Linked DNA regions of Drosophila melanogaster. The protein of the gene in region 1 interacts with the protein of each later gene in a pairwise test. Each region holds a gene or a part of one and is shown in the gene's direction. Other genes may lie near its edges.

Region 1 (8,612 bases):
ACGGCAGGGATTCCTGCAATCTGCTCAAATGACGTCTGGGGGAGCTCCACTTCAAGGGCTTCAGTTCAGGGCACTCTGATTACCAATGTTCCTCTTCCGTTGCAGTCATCATCTCCATGTGCTGGGTGGCCGGGACGATAGTGGGCTTCCTGCCGCTTTTCGGCTGGCACGCCGATGTCAATCACAACCAGGAGTGTCTCTTCGTGGAGGTGATGGACTACAACTACCTCGTCTTCCTCTATTTTGCCACCATTATCACTCCGGCTCTGCTGATGCTGGCCTTCTACACGCACATCTACCGGGTCATCATCAAACAGGTGAGTGGTAGATAGATTTTCGCCAGTAAAGTTTTTTATATATTCCATAGAGTTTGGAATATTAACTATCCGTTTTCAATTGAACTTTAAAGGTCCGTCAGATTGTTACGATGAACCCCGCCTCCGATCTCAGTCGTCGCTCCTCGGCGGCCGTGGTGCAGGTGACGACACCCGGAAGAGGTGGACACACGGGAACCATGCTGCGGGTCTTGGGCGCCGCAAGGAAGCGGGACGTCAAGGCCACCCAGAATCTGTCCATTATCGTGCTGTTCTTTATGATCTGCTGGATACCGCTCTATACGATCAACTGCATCAAGGCCTTCTGTCCCGACTGCTATGTGCATCCCAAGCTGACGCTCTTCTGCATCATTCTGTCCCATCTGAACTCGGCGGTAAATCCGGTCCTGTATGCCTATCACCTCAAGGACTTCAGGGCCGCGCTGAAGAACTTACTCCTGAAGATGATGGGCGTGGACATTGATCAGCAGGCGGAGGCAATCCACCGCTTCTCGGTGGCCAGTCAGCATCGCCTGCAGTCCATGGACTCCAATATGCGCTCCACGCAGCCGCGCCTCTATGTGGGTGAGTGTGAGTGCGCGTTGTCTCCTTGGAACTGTGGCAAAATCCCTATAACTCTCGTAACATTCCCTGCAGATTCACCCATTTGGTTGAGGCAGCAGCAGGAGGCCCTGAAGAACTCCCAGCTCCTGCCCAAGTGCGGAGTGGTGTCGCCCTGTTTCAACAACATCAACCAAACGGTGGCCGCCGTGGCTTCGGTGACCACAGATCTCGAGCGAGAAATGTGGAACATAGTGGAGGCCTCCAGTGGCGCCGAGCTGGGTGAAACCAGCTACGAGTTCCCTTCCCCCGCTCCGGGTTCCCAGCGCAGCAGTGAACGAAATAGCAGTTCCACAGTCCCACCAGCTCCTCCTGCTCCTGCGAAGCCCTCAGTTCCGTCCGCCTCCTATGACAACCACAACTACAGTTTCAGCCAGGATGAGGACGAAGATGATGATGATCTGGAGTTTGAGGACGTATTCGTGCCGGCCAGCTCTGTTCCAAATCCCGTTCAGCCTGGCATAGATCCCGTGGAACTGCGTCGCTCCCTGGCTTTGGTCATGAGGGAGAAATTGCGATCGGATGACACGGACTCCAGGCCAATGGGCAACAATCAGGATCTTCCCATAGATGAACAGTCCAGGGAGAGACCGCTCTCCACTCAAACATCTCCCACAAATGGCCCACTTCCGGCTCTTCTGAGGGCCAAACTGCTTGCTGGCAACTCCAATAGCGCTCACTGCCTGCCAGGATCCACGGCGAGTCCTGCTCCCCAGGAGCAATCCGGTATCTTTGTGATCGATAGTGAGGCGAGTCCCGGCTCAAATGGGCACAAGCCTAAGTATCGAAAGGGCACGGCATTCACTCGGAGTTCGCTGAAGAAGAGCCGATCCTGCAACTGTAGCTCCATCGCTAAGGGACGAGGGGTCCACGACGAGCCCAGCAGTAATCTCTGCAGGGATCAGGAGTCCTCTGTACTTCCACAGCATCCGCAGCCAGCCAACCATCCCACAGAGAACTTTTTTAGTCCGCTGAGATCGGTGGGCAGTTTCATGCAGCATTCCAACTTGTTTCACTTCCTCCAGCCTCACGCCGCCCGTCCCACCTCATCGACGGCGTCGTCCACGGCCTCCACGCCCACTCCATCACCACCGCCCATGGGCCAGGCTCAGGAGGAATCGGTTCCAGTGGGTCTGACCACCTCCTCGCCGTCCCTTCTGGCGACCAGCGCGGAGAGTTGACCTTCGCGGTCGGAAAAGAAGCGGGATCAGCAGGAAAGTCCACTGGAAGAGGATCACAAGGATGCGAAAGGGGTAAGGGGTGACCCCTGAGGAAATACTCGCAAGTCAAAGCTTTTACGTTAAGTACTTTCCAGCTCTCTTAGGCTCTCTTTCGGAAACGTTGTCAAATTCTATATCGGATCTAAATCAATTAGTTCGGTAGTGAAATATAGAGATTAGGAGCTATGCGCATTTATTTTGAGTGTATGGTCATAATACGTTTCTACGGACTAGTTAATTATGTACATACATATGTTTAATGTTGTTAGAGTATTTACTGTGTATATGTCAGCTTATGTATACCTGAACGTCTGTGAAAACCAAGTTAAGCCATGCGACATGAATTTCAAAGTTGAAGTTAAATAAAGCGATTAAACCAGAATGTACATTCATGTTGTGTTTTATTTTTGTTGGTTAAATAAGTCCTGATGCGATGTATGCCTATTGGTAGGGTATACAAGTTTTTCTTTTACATATGCTAGTATAGCGGATTTTGGCAAGCCTGTTGATAAAAGCTTTTCCAGAGCTTTTTGGAAGCGACGCCAAAACTATTGGAGCTCACTTGCTCAAAGTTCCCCATCAGATGGTTGGAGTCACTGCTAAATCTAAAACCGGCAACATTTTTAAAACCCCAACAAGCCGTTTATATAATTTCAGAATAACTTTTACTACTCCTTACTTACTATTGTAACCACAATAGAAATGCCGCCTGGAGTACTCAATGATCTGAACAGGAACGGTATCCAGTGCATTGCATCAGTAACGCTTCTCCAGCGATTCCCGTATCATCGGAACCACCACACCATCCCCACCATGGACCAGAACCGACCCACTGTGGGTGGTGTTACGGCGGAGGTACTAAAAGCCGTCGTTTCGGAAGCTCTGCTGGGCAAATTCACAGCTGTTTTCCCAAAGCTTTTCAAGTGCCAGTGGAAGACTTACGAAGGTCAAAAGAAGGTTAGTACATAAGCAGACGAACTTCGAGGTGGGTGTGTGCTCTGTGCCGGGATTAATCTCGAATCTGGGAAAAATCTGAGTGGAAAAGTCGACGGCGAGCCTCCAGTCATCGAGTTACCCACTTGAAATTATCAGTTCCAAACACTCTAATAGCAGTCCCCTTGTTTTGTCCCCCGATCCGCAGTTCTACGCCAATTTCAGCACCGATTGCACCGACAGCAACAGCAACAACATGAGCCGAAAGTTCTGCGTGGGAGGCAACTGGAAGATGAACGGCGACCAGAAGTCCATCGCCGAGATCGCCAAGACCCTGAGCTCGGCCGCCCTCGACCCCAACACGGAGGTGGTCATCGGCTGCCCGGCCATCTACCTGATGTACGCCCGCAACCTGCTGCCCTGCGAGCTGGGTCTGGCCGGCCAGAATGCCTACAAGGTGGCCAAGGGCGCATTCACCGGCGAGATCTCCCCTGCGATGCTGAAGGACATCGGCGCCGACTGGGTGATCCTGGGACACTCGGAGCGTCGCGCCATCTTCGGCGAATCGGACGCCCTGATCGCCGAGAAGGCCGAGCACGCCCTGGCCGAGGGCCTCAAGGTCATCGCCTGCATTGGTGAGACCCTGGAGGAGCGCGAGGCCGGCAAGACCAACGAGGTGGTGGCCCGCCAAATGTGCGCCTACGCCCAGAAGATCAAGGACTGGAAGAACGTGGTGGTGGCCTACGAGCCCGTCTGGGCCATTGGCACCGGCCAGACCGCCACACCCGATCAGGTAAGGTCGCCCGCAGAGGCTAATCTCTTCCAGAACTGATATTTTCCCTTCCCAATTGCAGGCTCAAGAGGTCCACGCCTTCCTGCGCCAGTGGCTGAGCGACAACATCTCCAAGGAGGTGTCCGCCAGCCTGCGCATCCAGTACGGTGGATCCGTGACCGCCGCCAACGCCAAGGAGCTGGCCAAGAAGCCCGACATAGATGGCTTCCTGGTCGGAGGCGCCTCCCTGAAGCCCGAGTTCGTGGACATCATCAACGCCCGGCAGTAAGCAACGCGATCTCAAGCATCAGATCGCTTTCGGCCAGCGAACTGCCCGCGAAGGAGGCACTGGAGGGCAGGACTCCATACTCCTGCGCGCGAATGCATTACGCACACACCTAGTTGTTGTCACCACCAAGTGCAGTTCCAAATTCATAGTTACCTTGCGAGAATGCTACTCACATCCTTGTTGTTGAACGTATAGTAGTCCATTGTGTAAATCTTAAATTATTCAGGCAATAATTATGCGCTACTCATTTACTTATATACCAAACCAAACAGGTGTCTTATTTTTTGCAAGACTATTTCAGCTATTTTTAGAGCGATTGGTTGAACGACAAGGTGTCCAAAGTTGTGTGCACATATGTACATATATGTGTCACCTCTGCGGACCTTAAACCGAACAAGTTATTACTTAATTTCTGATAAGCATGCGAAATGGCAAATATTTGGAATATGAGTTCCAACTGAGTAATCGAGGCAATCATTGTATTCACTTACCTAACAAGTGAATCAAATCATTTGCATCATGTTTTTGACAATATCTTGCATAAAAGCCTTCAAGAAGAAGCAATGCATCATAAGATAGCTTAACTTGAGATAAGAAAGGAAAACAGTTTGTACTTATTATACTTTATACTTATACTCAGAGTTCATTTCTAATCGAAGTGTTCGAAGATTGTGCACAAAGTTTGGCAAATATGGAGCTAAACAAGGCAATTTCTTTGTAGCTGATAAGTTATTTAGCTTAGTAAGTAATTTATGGTTAGTAAATCAACAAAATATTATTCAGTTTTTCTCAAAACATGAACAGGCTGAGAATTCTTGAACCCAAGTGGCCTTAGATACATTATCGATTTGACAAGCTCTAGTTCTCCGTTTTTGAGCTTTTTATTGTCATTTCTGATCCTGAACACATCGATTTTATTCAGACTGGAGTTTTATATCAGAACAAATTAAATAAGTTTTTAGCCAAATCTTTAGAGAGTAAAGAAAATTTTAACTTGGTTTTAGCGATAGTTTCCCTAGAAGATCAACATGACGCAGTACTATGTCTTTGACGTTATCCTTGTGAACTCCAGTTTGCCGATTCCCCGCAAGTCCGCCAGTTTCAGTGCGGGTGGGAGGCCCGTCTACTCGGTTCGATTGTTCGAGGACTTTGAGGAGCTGTCCATGGAACGCATATTCGTGGATCAGTTTCCCACAGAGGCATTGGGTGGCTTTACCAGCAGTCCCTGTGAGCTAATAGGAGCATTGACATCCAAGGGCGTAGGCGTCACTCTCAAAGAGAACGACGAGCTCATAGGATCGGGCAACGCCACGCTGGAATCTTCAATCCTGCGCCAGCTGACAGACCCCAGCTTTTCGGTTACCCAGAGTGTTACAGTTCAACTGACCAAAGGGCCTAAGAACGACCGAGTGGGTGAGGTGGAGCTACTCCTAAAGATCAGCTCCGCTTCACCGGATATAAAGTAAGTGGTGTTAACCAGATAGGGGAAATGTAGTATTCCTATTAAATCACAATCCTCTCTAGCCACGGCTTGATTCCCTTTGGCTGCTATGACGTGTGCAAGCCTGTGGATCATTCGATCAACAAAAAGGATATTATCTTCACCCTGGGACGCTCCGGAAAGTGTGCAACGAACAGCTGCATCACGGATGAGCGCCTGATGTCGCACGCGGGAGCACCCTTCCAATGTCCACACGCCGCAAGTCAGAATCAGGAGGATCAGGATAACAAAGGCGGTGCCTTTGCCAGATGTGGGTGTTTCCTGAAAGGAATGCAATTACCTCCGGATGTTGGCACGGAGAAAAAGAGAGAAAAGGCCGCTCTGAAGAAGCTCGTCGATGAACTGGGTCTAGACGAGATAAAAGTACCCAGTCCTCCAGACACACACGAAAAGTCCCGTCGTTGGCATTGCAAGTGCAAGCAGCCGAGTTCCAGCACAGATACTTCCTCCTGTGACACCAATGAGTTCACAGCGGAAAAGCCTCCTAGAAAGAGAAAGGCCATATCCTTGACTGCCTCCATGGAGCGGGCTGCTCGTCGAAGACTCATGGGCACCTGTCCTGTAAAAGAGCCTGTTTTAACACAGGAGGCCTACAAGCCACCGAATCTCTGCCAGCTCTGCCGTTCGGACATCAGTTGGCTGCCCAAGATCTCCGCCTGTCCCTACTGTGGCTACAAAACCTTCGAGGACATACAGCCCAGCGAGCAGCCCTACGATCTTACGGCAACTGCCCAGCAATTGCTAAGGGACTGCCTGCGCAAGGAGACCTGTGAACTGGACCCGTCCAAAGGTGATGATGAAGCCATGGGCGACAAGAACAAGGATGATCCCAATGTTCCGCAGCAATGTGGCTGCTTGGGCGGGAAACCCTGCACTCGATGCCGCATCCGGAAGCTCTGCGACAACTTTTTTAAGGAAAATGAGTGCAAGATTGAGCCACTCCCACAGGCTTATCCGCAAGCTCCAAGCAAATCACAACCGGAAAGCAAGAAGGTGAACCAAGCCAACTCGGACGAATCACTTCGTCGTACCCAACTGATCTCCATCTTCACGGAGATGCGGAATATGTTCGGCAAGAAGAAGGGAGCCAACGAGGCGGACGTGGTGGCCGAGGAGCTGAGGAAGGAGTGCGATGCAGCCTGCCGTAACACCAAGTCGGCCAAGGCCCGCAGGAAGGCCAGGAAGGCGCTGCAGAAGACACTGGACGAGATTGACAAGGCCTATCCCAAGCCAGCCAAAATGCGGATAAAGAAGGAGCGCACCCACCACAAAAAGTCCCGATGGTGAGATATGAAACCTACATTGCGTTCAGATAGATTAGACTCTCATCTTGCAGCTACACCTTCTTGAAGCTGAAGACGGTATCCAAAGACTCCCGTATCGGGCATCTGGACTGCATTTCGGGCAGCAAGCATACGGGCTACAGCAGGATTCCCTGTCACATGGGTTGGATGTGGACCAAAAGCGAGATGGCGCGCCACAAGTCGTGGCGCCCAGGAGCCATTTCTCGACCCATCCGACAACTAATGTCCTACTTTCTAAAGGACTTTCCTGCGGATAATATTTGCCTTTCGCGTTACCACTACCGACACAAAAAGTGCCGCAGGGTCGAGGAGCTGGAGGAGCCACTAGTGCAGCATCCAACGCTGCACATAAGTCGGAAGGGAGATGAGTACATCATCACCTTGCGTCCATTAAAGGATCCCAAGGCCCTGGCCTCCAGTGCCAACCCTTATGCGGATATGAAGCCCGTTGTCTTTCGTATTACCAAGGATCCCATGGCAGCAGGACTCCGCCAGATGAGAGTGAATCTTCAGGACAAGGGATTTGCCCCCTGCACTTGTCGCCGGCCGGTGGCCAGTTGCTTTTGCCGGAGTCACATTGAGAAGAAGCGAATTCAGTACGAGGTGGAGAACGAGTGTCGCCAGCGTGGTTGGCCAAACAACTCGGATACCTTCGTGTACTCCCCAAACAGCGACGATGATGACAGCGATCGGGAGTACGAGTTTGGGGTTACTCCTCCGGCGGGAGTCATAAAGCCCGAACGGGTGCGACAGCCGGACAGAGCGCACGTGGAGACCCAGTACGTGGATCACGACTGGGCCGCTCCCACCATGTACCCGCATCCGGCCAACATGCTCGTCCAATACGGCGGATGCGTGATGGGCGAGCGAAAGAAGATGTTCCCATGGATCTACGGAAAGGGCGACGTTCACGCGGATCCACCGAAGCCGCGCCTGCGAAATCCGCCCAAGAAGAAGCCACGCAAGCAGCTTCCCTTCCGCAATGTCGGTGGCTACGATGATCCCCGGAGGTTCGATCCAACCCCACTAAACAGACCTTGGCACAAGTCTAACTGACATGGTGGCGGAGTCCAAATGCATTGATGTTAGCAATCACAAGTATACATAGCCTTTACATTTTAAATAAATGACGGTTTCGGCATTCCAAGAATTCCACATAAATGAATTGGTTTTATCCCTTTTGGCATGAATTGAATAACATAGTCATAGTCATAGATTTATTAAAACAATGTGTTGGTATGTCATTCTATGCCAATGTGGTTCTATGTAACCCAGGATGCCGTGAGTTCTACTTCACCTGGTCATTACAGTCCGATTCTTGAACACAGCTCATTCTCTATTGATAGTTCAGGTCGATCGCTTCAGGCTCAAGTTATCTATAAATTGCTTACTTTTATGTGAATTCTCGTGACGTAGCCCGTGCGCTTTTTTAAAATTATTTGTGCAAGAAAAATTTTAGACTCGTGGACGACCCTATATCGATTGCTAACCGGCCAGGATGGAGAAGTACGAGTGCAAGCCAGAGCCGGTGGAGAAGAAGGAGAAGCCGGTGGAAGAGCTAATGAACTGGGATGCCTACTACAAGAACCGCGGATTGGTCAGCACCCGATTGGGCAGCTGCAAAGCGGACTACATGCACTGCTCCACGTACCAGGAGA
Region 2 (6,019 bases), on another chromosome or scaffold:
AATCTGAAAGATATTTTATCGGATCACAGTACTATTAGAATCATACAAAATATATCAACAGATCGTCAGTCCATAAGCTGCTAAATAGGAAAGTCCGTGAGAGCCTCAAAGTCCTTGGACCCAACGCTACCTGGTCATCTCACGGCTTCTGCTGGATTCACTGCCTCTAGGCGAAGTGGGCGTGGATCAGCCGGTTGGGTTGACGTACCTGAAGGTGATGCTCTGGCTAGAAAGCCAGGGACAAATGACAAATCTCCAATTAGTTAGCAACTAAGCAAAACGGTTTTTTTTGGATTGGCTGGCTGAACGTATTGTTAGCATGTGTGCAAACACAGTACATTGTTTATTAAATAGATGAATATGTATTGTTAAGCCTTTTGAACAGAAAGCCATATTTAAATAACCTCTAAGCTTAAATATAGATTAAGATGGCATATTGTACATAAAGAATGAATTCTCACTAAAAGAAAACTTAGAACAAACTCCTATTTTTCACTTTCATTTGCAAGTTCCTAATCGATTAAGTTATCATCTGGAATTATGTCTGCACTTAGACCAGTTCCACTTGATCAACTAACTAGATCGGAAAATGATTTACTTAGGATTCTTCATTAGAGTATATAGTGTAGCCTTCTTCTTCTTTTCCAAGATGAAACCGAATATTGAATTTCTTTGTTTGACTAACAATTCGATCCAAATGATTTCACTTGTTTTTAAGGTGCCAAGTTACCAAGTCATAACTACGATTGTTGCTTTTGTGTATGCATTTATTTTTCAATTTGGACCATTTCATTGTTCGATCGGGTTAAGCCGATGGTTTATCCCCTACGTTGGCGCCTTCTTCCAGCACGACTCTGCTGGCGCCTTTCCTGCTGCCTCTCCCGGCGAATCTCCTGGCGCCTCTCCTGACGCCTCAGCCGCCGGAGCCTGCGAAGCCTGCGCCTCAGCCTGTCCACCTCCTCGCTGTCGGAGCTCGTGGAGGAGGAGGACGTGTCGCTGGACGTGGAGGGGGCCGTGGTTGTGGCAGTCGTCGATGAGGTGGAGGAAGTGGGCGAAGTGGAAGAAGAGCTGCTAGGAGTGGAGGACGAAGTAGACGTAGTGCTATTGCTGGACGGAGTTGAGGTGGAGGACGAAGAGCTGGGTGTCGAACTTGAGCTGGAAGTCGATGGAGTCGATGAATTGGAAGTGGGTGATGTGGAAGAGGACGAGTCGCTCGAGGATGAGTCGGTGCCACCATAAACGGTCGCCACGAGGACAACCAAACCAAAGGCCAGGACGAATTCGGGTCTCATCTTAAGCTCTGTCTGTTGAACACTGTACTCAAGTACTATACAGCATCCAGATCTGTGTCTGCTATTTATACGATCTATCTGGAGGGGTTTGGTCCAAAATCTCAATCCGTGGGTGGTTTACATCTTAGCATCTGGCACGTGGCCCAGTGTTTTGCTGAAAACGTCTGGAAAGCTGGAAAGGTTATTGTTGGGAAGTTAAACATTGAAGCAGTTGTTGATTTTCTGAAACAATCTACGGCACAGGCACTAGACAAATATAGTTTTTGACTAAGAAGTGACTAAGCAAAAATAGGTAATTGGACTATTCTGAATAAAATAACTAAATACAATAGGAACAATCAGTTCGTAAGATAAGGAAGGGTAAAGTGGCCATTCTACCCAGAATCCTTCAAGTTGGCTTTCCTAAAATGAATACTACAATGCAAGCAGAGTCACTTCGTGTTCTCTTTTAAGCAGCATATTATTATTCAAAGAAAGATTTAATCATCAATAAATGTGATAGAGCACTTAATATTTGCTTAATATTAAATGTTCTTATATTAAACATCCTCTAAGTTAAGCACTTTCTTCTTGAGCCGTATTGGCACATCCACTAAAAATAACACTGCGCAAATAGAAGCTCCATTGCTGTTGTAGATTCGACAAACATAGGAACTTTCCACACCTTGTTCAACAAAACACTGCCGCAAATGCCACATGTTAAGATCAAACTAAGACGACGCACAGATTGAGATTTTGGACCAAACCCCTCCAGATAGATCGTATAAATAGCAGACACAGATCTGGATGCTGTATAGTACTTGAGTACAGTGTTCAACAGACAGAGCTTAAGATGAGACCCGAATTCGTCCTGGCCTTTGGTTTGGTTGTCCTCGTGGCGACCGTTTATGGTGGCACCGACTCATCCTCGAGCGACTCGTCCTCTTCCACATCACCCACTTCCAATTCATCGACTCCATCGACTTCCAGCTCAAGTTCGACACCCAGCTCTTCGTCCTCCACCTCAACTCCGTCCAGCAATAGCACTACGTCTACTTCGTCCTCCACTCCTAGCAGCTCTTCTTCCACTTCGCCCACTTCCTCCACCTCATCGACGACTGCCACAACCACGGCCCCCTCCACGTCCAGCGACACGTCCTCCTCCTCCACGAGCTCCGACAGCGAGGAGGTGGACAGGCTGAGGCGCAGGCTTCGCAGGCTCCGGCGGCTGAGGCGTCAGGAGAGGCGCCAGGAGATTCGCCGGGAGAGGCAGCAGGAAAGGCGCCAGCAGAGTCGTGCTGGAAGAAGGCGCCAACGTAGGGGATAAACCATCGGCTTAACCCGATCGAACAATGAAATGGTCCAAATTGAAAAATAAATGCATACACAAAAGCAACAATCGTAGTTATGACTTGGTAACTTGGCACCTTAAAAACAAGTGAAATCATTTGGATCGAATTGTTAGTCAAACAAAGAAATTCAATATTCGGTTTCATCTTGGAAAAGAAGAAGAAGGCTACACTATATACTCTAATGAAGAATCCTAAGTAAATCATTTTCCGATCTAGTTAGTTGATCAAGTGGAACTGGTCTAAGTGCAGACATAATTCCAGATGATAACTTAATCGATTAGGAACTTGCAAATGAAAGTGAAAAATAGGAGTTTGTTCTAAGTTTTCTTTTAGTGAGAATTCATTCTTTATGTACAATATGCCATCTTAATCTTTATTTAAGCTTAGAGGTTATTTAAATATGGCTTTCTGTTCAAAAGGCTTAACAATACATATTCATCTATTTAATAAACAATGTACCGTGTTTGCACACATGCTAACAATACGTTCAGCCAGCCAATCCAAAAAAAAACCGTTTTGTTTAATTACTAACGAATTAGAACTTTCCACAGCCATCAACAGCTTTCGCGCTTACAGAGAAGATAGTCTCGTCTTTTTATTGAGTTTAATCTATTTGTCTTGACGAGAACGTAAAATGTACTCTAAAACATTCAAAGCAAACACAGATTCGACAATTAAAGCGAATCAAGTGGATCATCCCTATAAATACTCGGATTTAAACCACTATCCACACAGTACTCCATTTAGTGACAAACTGAGCTGAAGATGCGTTGCCAATTCGTTATCGCCTTTGGGCTTTTGGCCCTAATAGCAACTGCCTACGCCGATTCTCCACCTGCGGCAGGATCCCCACCCGCGTCATCTCCACCGGCTGGAACCCCAACCTCGCCACCTCCAGCGACTGGAACACCGCCCTCACCATCCCCAGCGACTGGAACACCACCTTCAGCATCCCCAGCTGCTGGTACACCGACCTCGCCAACTCCAGCGACTGGAACACCGTCCTCGCCAGCTACTCCTGATGCGCCCGCTTCCTCGACATCACCAGCTACGCCCACATCGCCCAGTGACAGTGGATCCAGCAGCAGCCAGGAAGTGATTAGGCTCAGGCGTCGGCTGCGCCGGCTGAGGCGTCAGCTCCGCCGCGAGAGGCGTCAGGCCAACCAGAGTAATCAGAATGGAGGTGGTGGTCAGGGGCGAGTGGTTCGCCGTGTACACCGTCACCGTCGTCTATTGTAAAATTCACGAACATGTTGGCTACGAATTTGAAATAAAATTCCAGACAGAAATGCAATAAATCTAAAAAAAACATAAATGTATTGAATGGCTTTTTAAATTAGAGGAACCATCGCTCTTTTTGTAATGCATACATTAGTAAACTAACTTATATTTGCCCAACAAACTTTCTAAACATTGCAATGAATATTTCGAATAGAAGCGTTCTAAACATTGAAATAAATATTCTGATTAGGAAGTTCGTTGCACATATTTAATTCAAAATGACCGCGAAACGGTGCTGCCAGATGTCTGAATTTCGTGCACTGCGGAGCGGATCTTCTTTCTACTAAGGCAGGAAGGGTCATACTAACACCTCCACTTCTCACCAAAACAAAGGTTACCCCGAAATTTAATCAAAATAAATCGAAATGCCGGTGGATTGGTTCGGATATGTGTACGCAGCCACGGTCGCCGCCGGAGGAATCATGGGATACGCCAAGGCGGGTAAGTGACCAGCCCCCTGACCGTGGTCATGTCCGATTGTGCAACGCCCTGCATTCCAGGTTCCATTCCCTCGCTGGGTGCTGGTCTGGCCTTCGGAGCCCTGCTCGGCTATGGCGCCCACCTCAACTCCCAGGACACGCCTCGTCCCCTGCTCCAGTTGGGCACCTCCCTGTTCCTGGCCGGGCTGATGGGCGCCCGCTGGAACCGATCCGGAAAACTGATGCCCGCCGGAATGGTGTGCATGCTATCCGTGGCCGCCTTGGTCAAGAACCTGGCCACCTATAATCGCTACCTAATGCCCGCCGGCACAAAGGCCCCTTAGGCTAATTTCCGGCCACATGCTGGACTTGCCAGGAGATTGCCCTACCTTCATTCTTCATTCGTATTGAATAGGTTTTCTACTTTTCGGTGATTGGAACTTTGGTAATGCGCTGTGTCACTTTCTAAGATAGTGATTAGGAACTGTACTTGCTGCAAATATATTTTATCACCTATGCTTTTAACTTGTGGACTTCTTTGTACTCAATTGTAATACTTGGTCACATTTAATAGCATACTTTCAGGCACTTTGGTATGACAGTTCGCATAGAAGCACAGAAATACACCATTTCGTACATTCAAATCTTTTTTTGTATATTTATTGTTTAACTTAGCTTTTGTTTCTTTTGTGTGTGTGATAAATTTACAGTTTCATCTATTATACGATGTTCAGTTAACTACAACTAAAACTTAGCTATTACATTTTGTTGCTGCATGAAAAGAGCATTAGGCTAGGTAAACGTAGAGTGATGGATTTTTTTTTTTTTTTAGAATTTAGGCTTCTAACAAGTTTATTACAATAATGAAGTGAATAATTTGAGTTTTCTGCAGGCAAAGTGCGGCAAGGTAAGTATATTATCGATTCTCCACCTTTCTAGCATTTTCCCAACAGGAAACGATAAATATTTGTTAAGTAGAGTGTACAAATTATATATGTTTATCACATTGGAAAGTGGGATTATTATTAAATTTCCTTTCGATTGATTTGTGGCTCAAGAAATAATTTAGGTTGTCTGCCGAAAGTGCGTGCATGTGTAGATGAAGTTTTTACAGAATTATATGTACTATTTTACAAAATTGTTTGCATTTTGCATTAAATTAGATTACATAATATATGCGTGTACTGAACATAACAACATTGCTGGCTGCTGCGTTGCCCTCAGCAAACAGGCAATCATTTAAATTAGAATTAGCTGCGGCTAGAACTAACAACAAATCAATAGGGTTTCGTACAGAGTATAATAGTAATAAATTCTAGCTAAAAACACTTTAAGCTGCAAACACTTCTTCCAATTTCGATGGCAGTGACGTCTGCGTGCCAGTTCCAAACGTTCCCCCAATGCGGCTGCATTTTCACACTTTCACTAGAACGGAAACAGCTTCCAGTTAACCACTGCGGATGCCGGATGCGGAATGCGGTAACGAAACGGAAGCGAGGAAGAAAGAGAGAAAAACGCAGGAAATTAGTGATTGTGGTAGCATACAATTCTCGTGGGGCGTGCAAAAACAATGAGCTAATTTGGGAAGTTTTATTTCGTATGCATTAGATAAATATATATTTTTTGCAGACGCCGGCCATTTTGAATTGTGTGGGTGGTTGTGGTTGTGTGGTATGTGCGTGTGTTCCATTCCATG

The links. The genes of interacting proteins can lie anywhere in the genome.
Region 2: the proteins of CG31029 (region 1) and CG11300 interact in a two-hybrid assay, tested with the Drosophila melanogaster proteins (one large-scale study listed by BioGRID).

Annotation. Positions count from the first base shown.
Region 1 is NT_033777.3:30,128,779-30,137,390, reverse strand, and holds CG31029 (uncharacterized protein), read left to right. Parts: upstream 1-4,995; 5' UTR 4,996-5,177; coding exon 5,178-5,611; intron 5,612-5,673; coding exon 5,674-6,933; intron 6,934-6,986; coding exon 6,987-8,010; 3' UTR 8,011-8,112; downstream 8,113-8,612. Other genes in the region: AdoR (adenosine receptor), read left to right, coding at 106-317, 410-905, 972-2,116; Tpi (triose phosphate isomerase), read left to right, coding at 2,858-3,112, 3,297-3,881, 3,943-4,149; Ppi1 (protein phosphatase 1c interacting protein 1), read left to right, coding at 8,453-8,612.
Region 2 is NT_033778.4:23,748,561-23,754,579, forward strand, and holds CG11300 (uncharacterized protein), read left to right. Parts: upstream 1-3,354; 5' UTR 3,355-3,388; coding exon 3,389-3,862; 3' UTR 3,863-3,935; downstream 3,936-6,019. Other genes in the region: CG34105 (uncharacterized protein), read right to left, coding at 819-1,292; CG12491 (uncharacterized protein), read left to right, coding at 2,125-2,598; CG5532 (uncharacterized protein), read left to right, coding at 4,270-4,345, 4,405-4,667.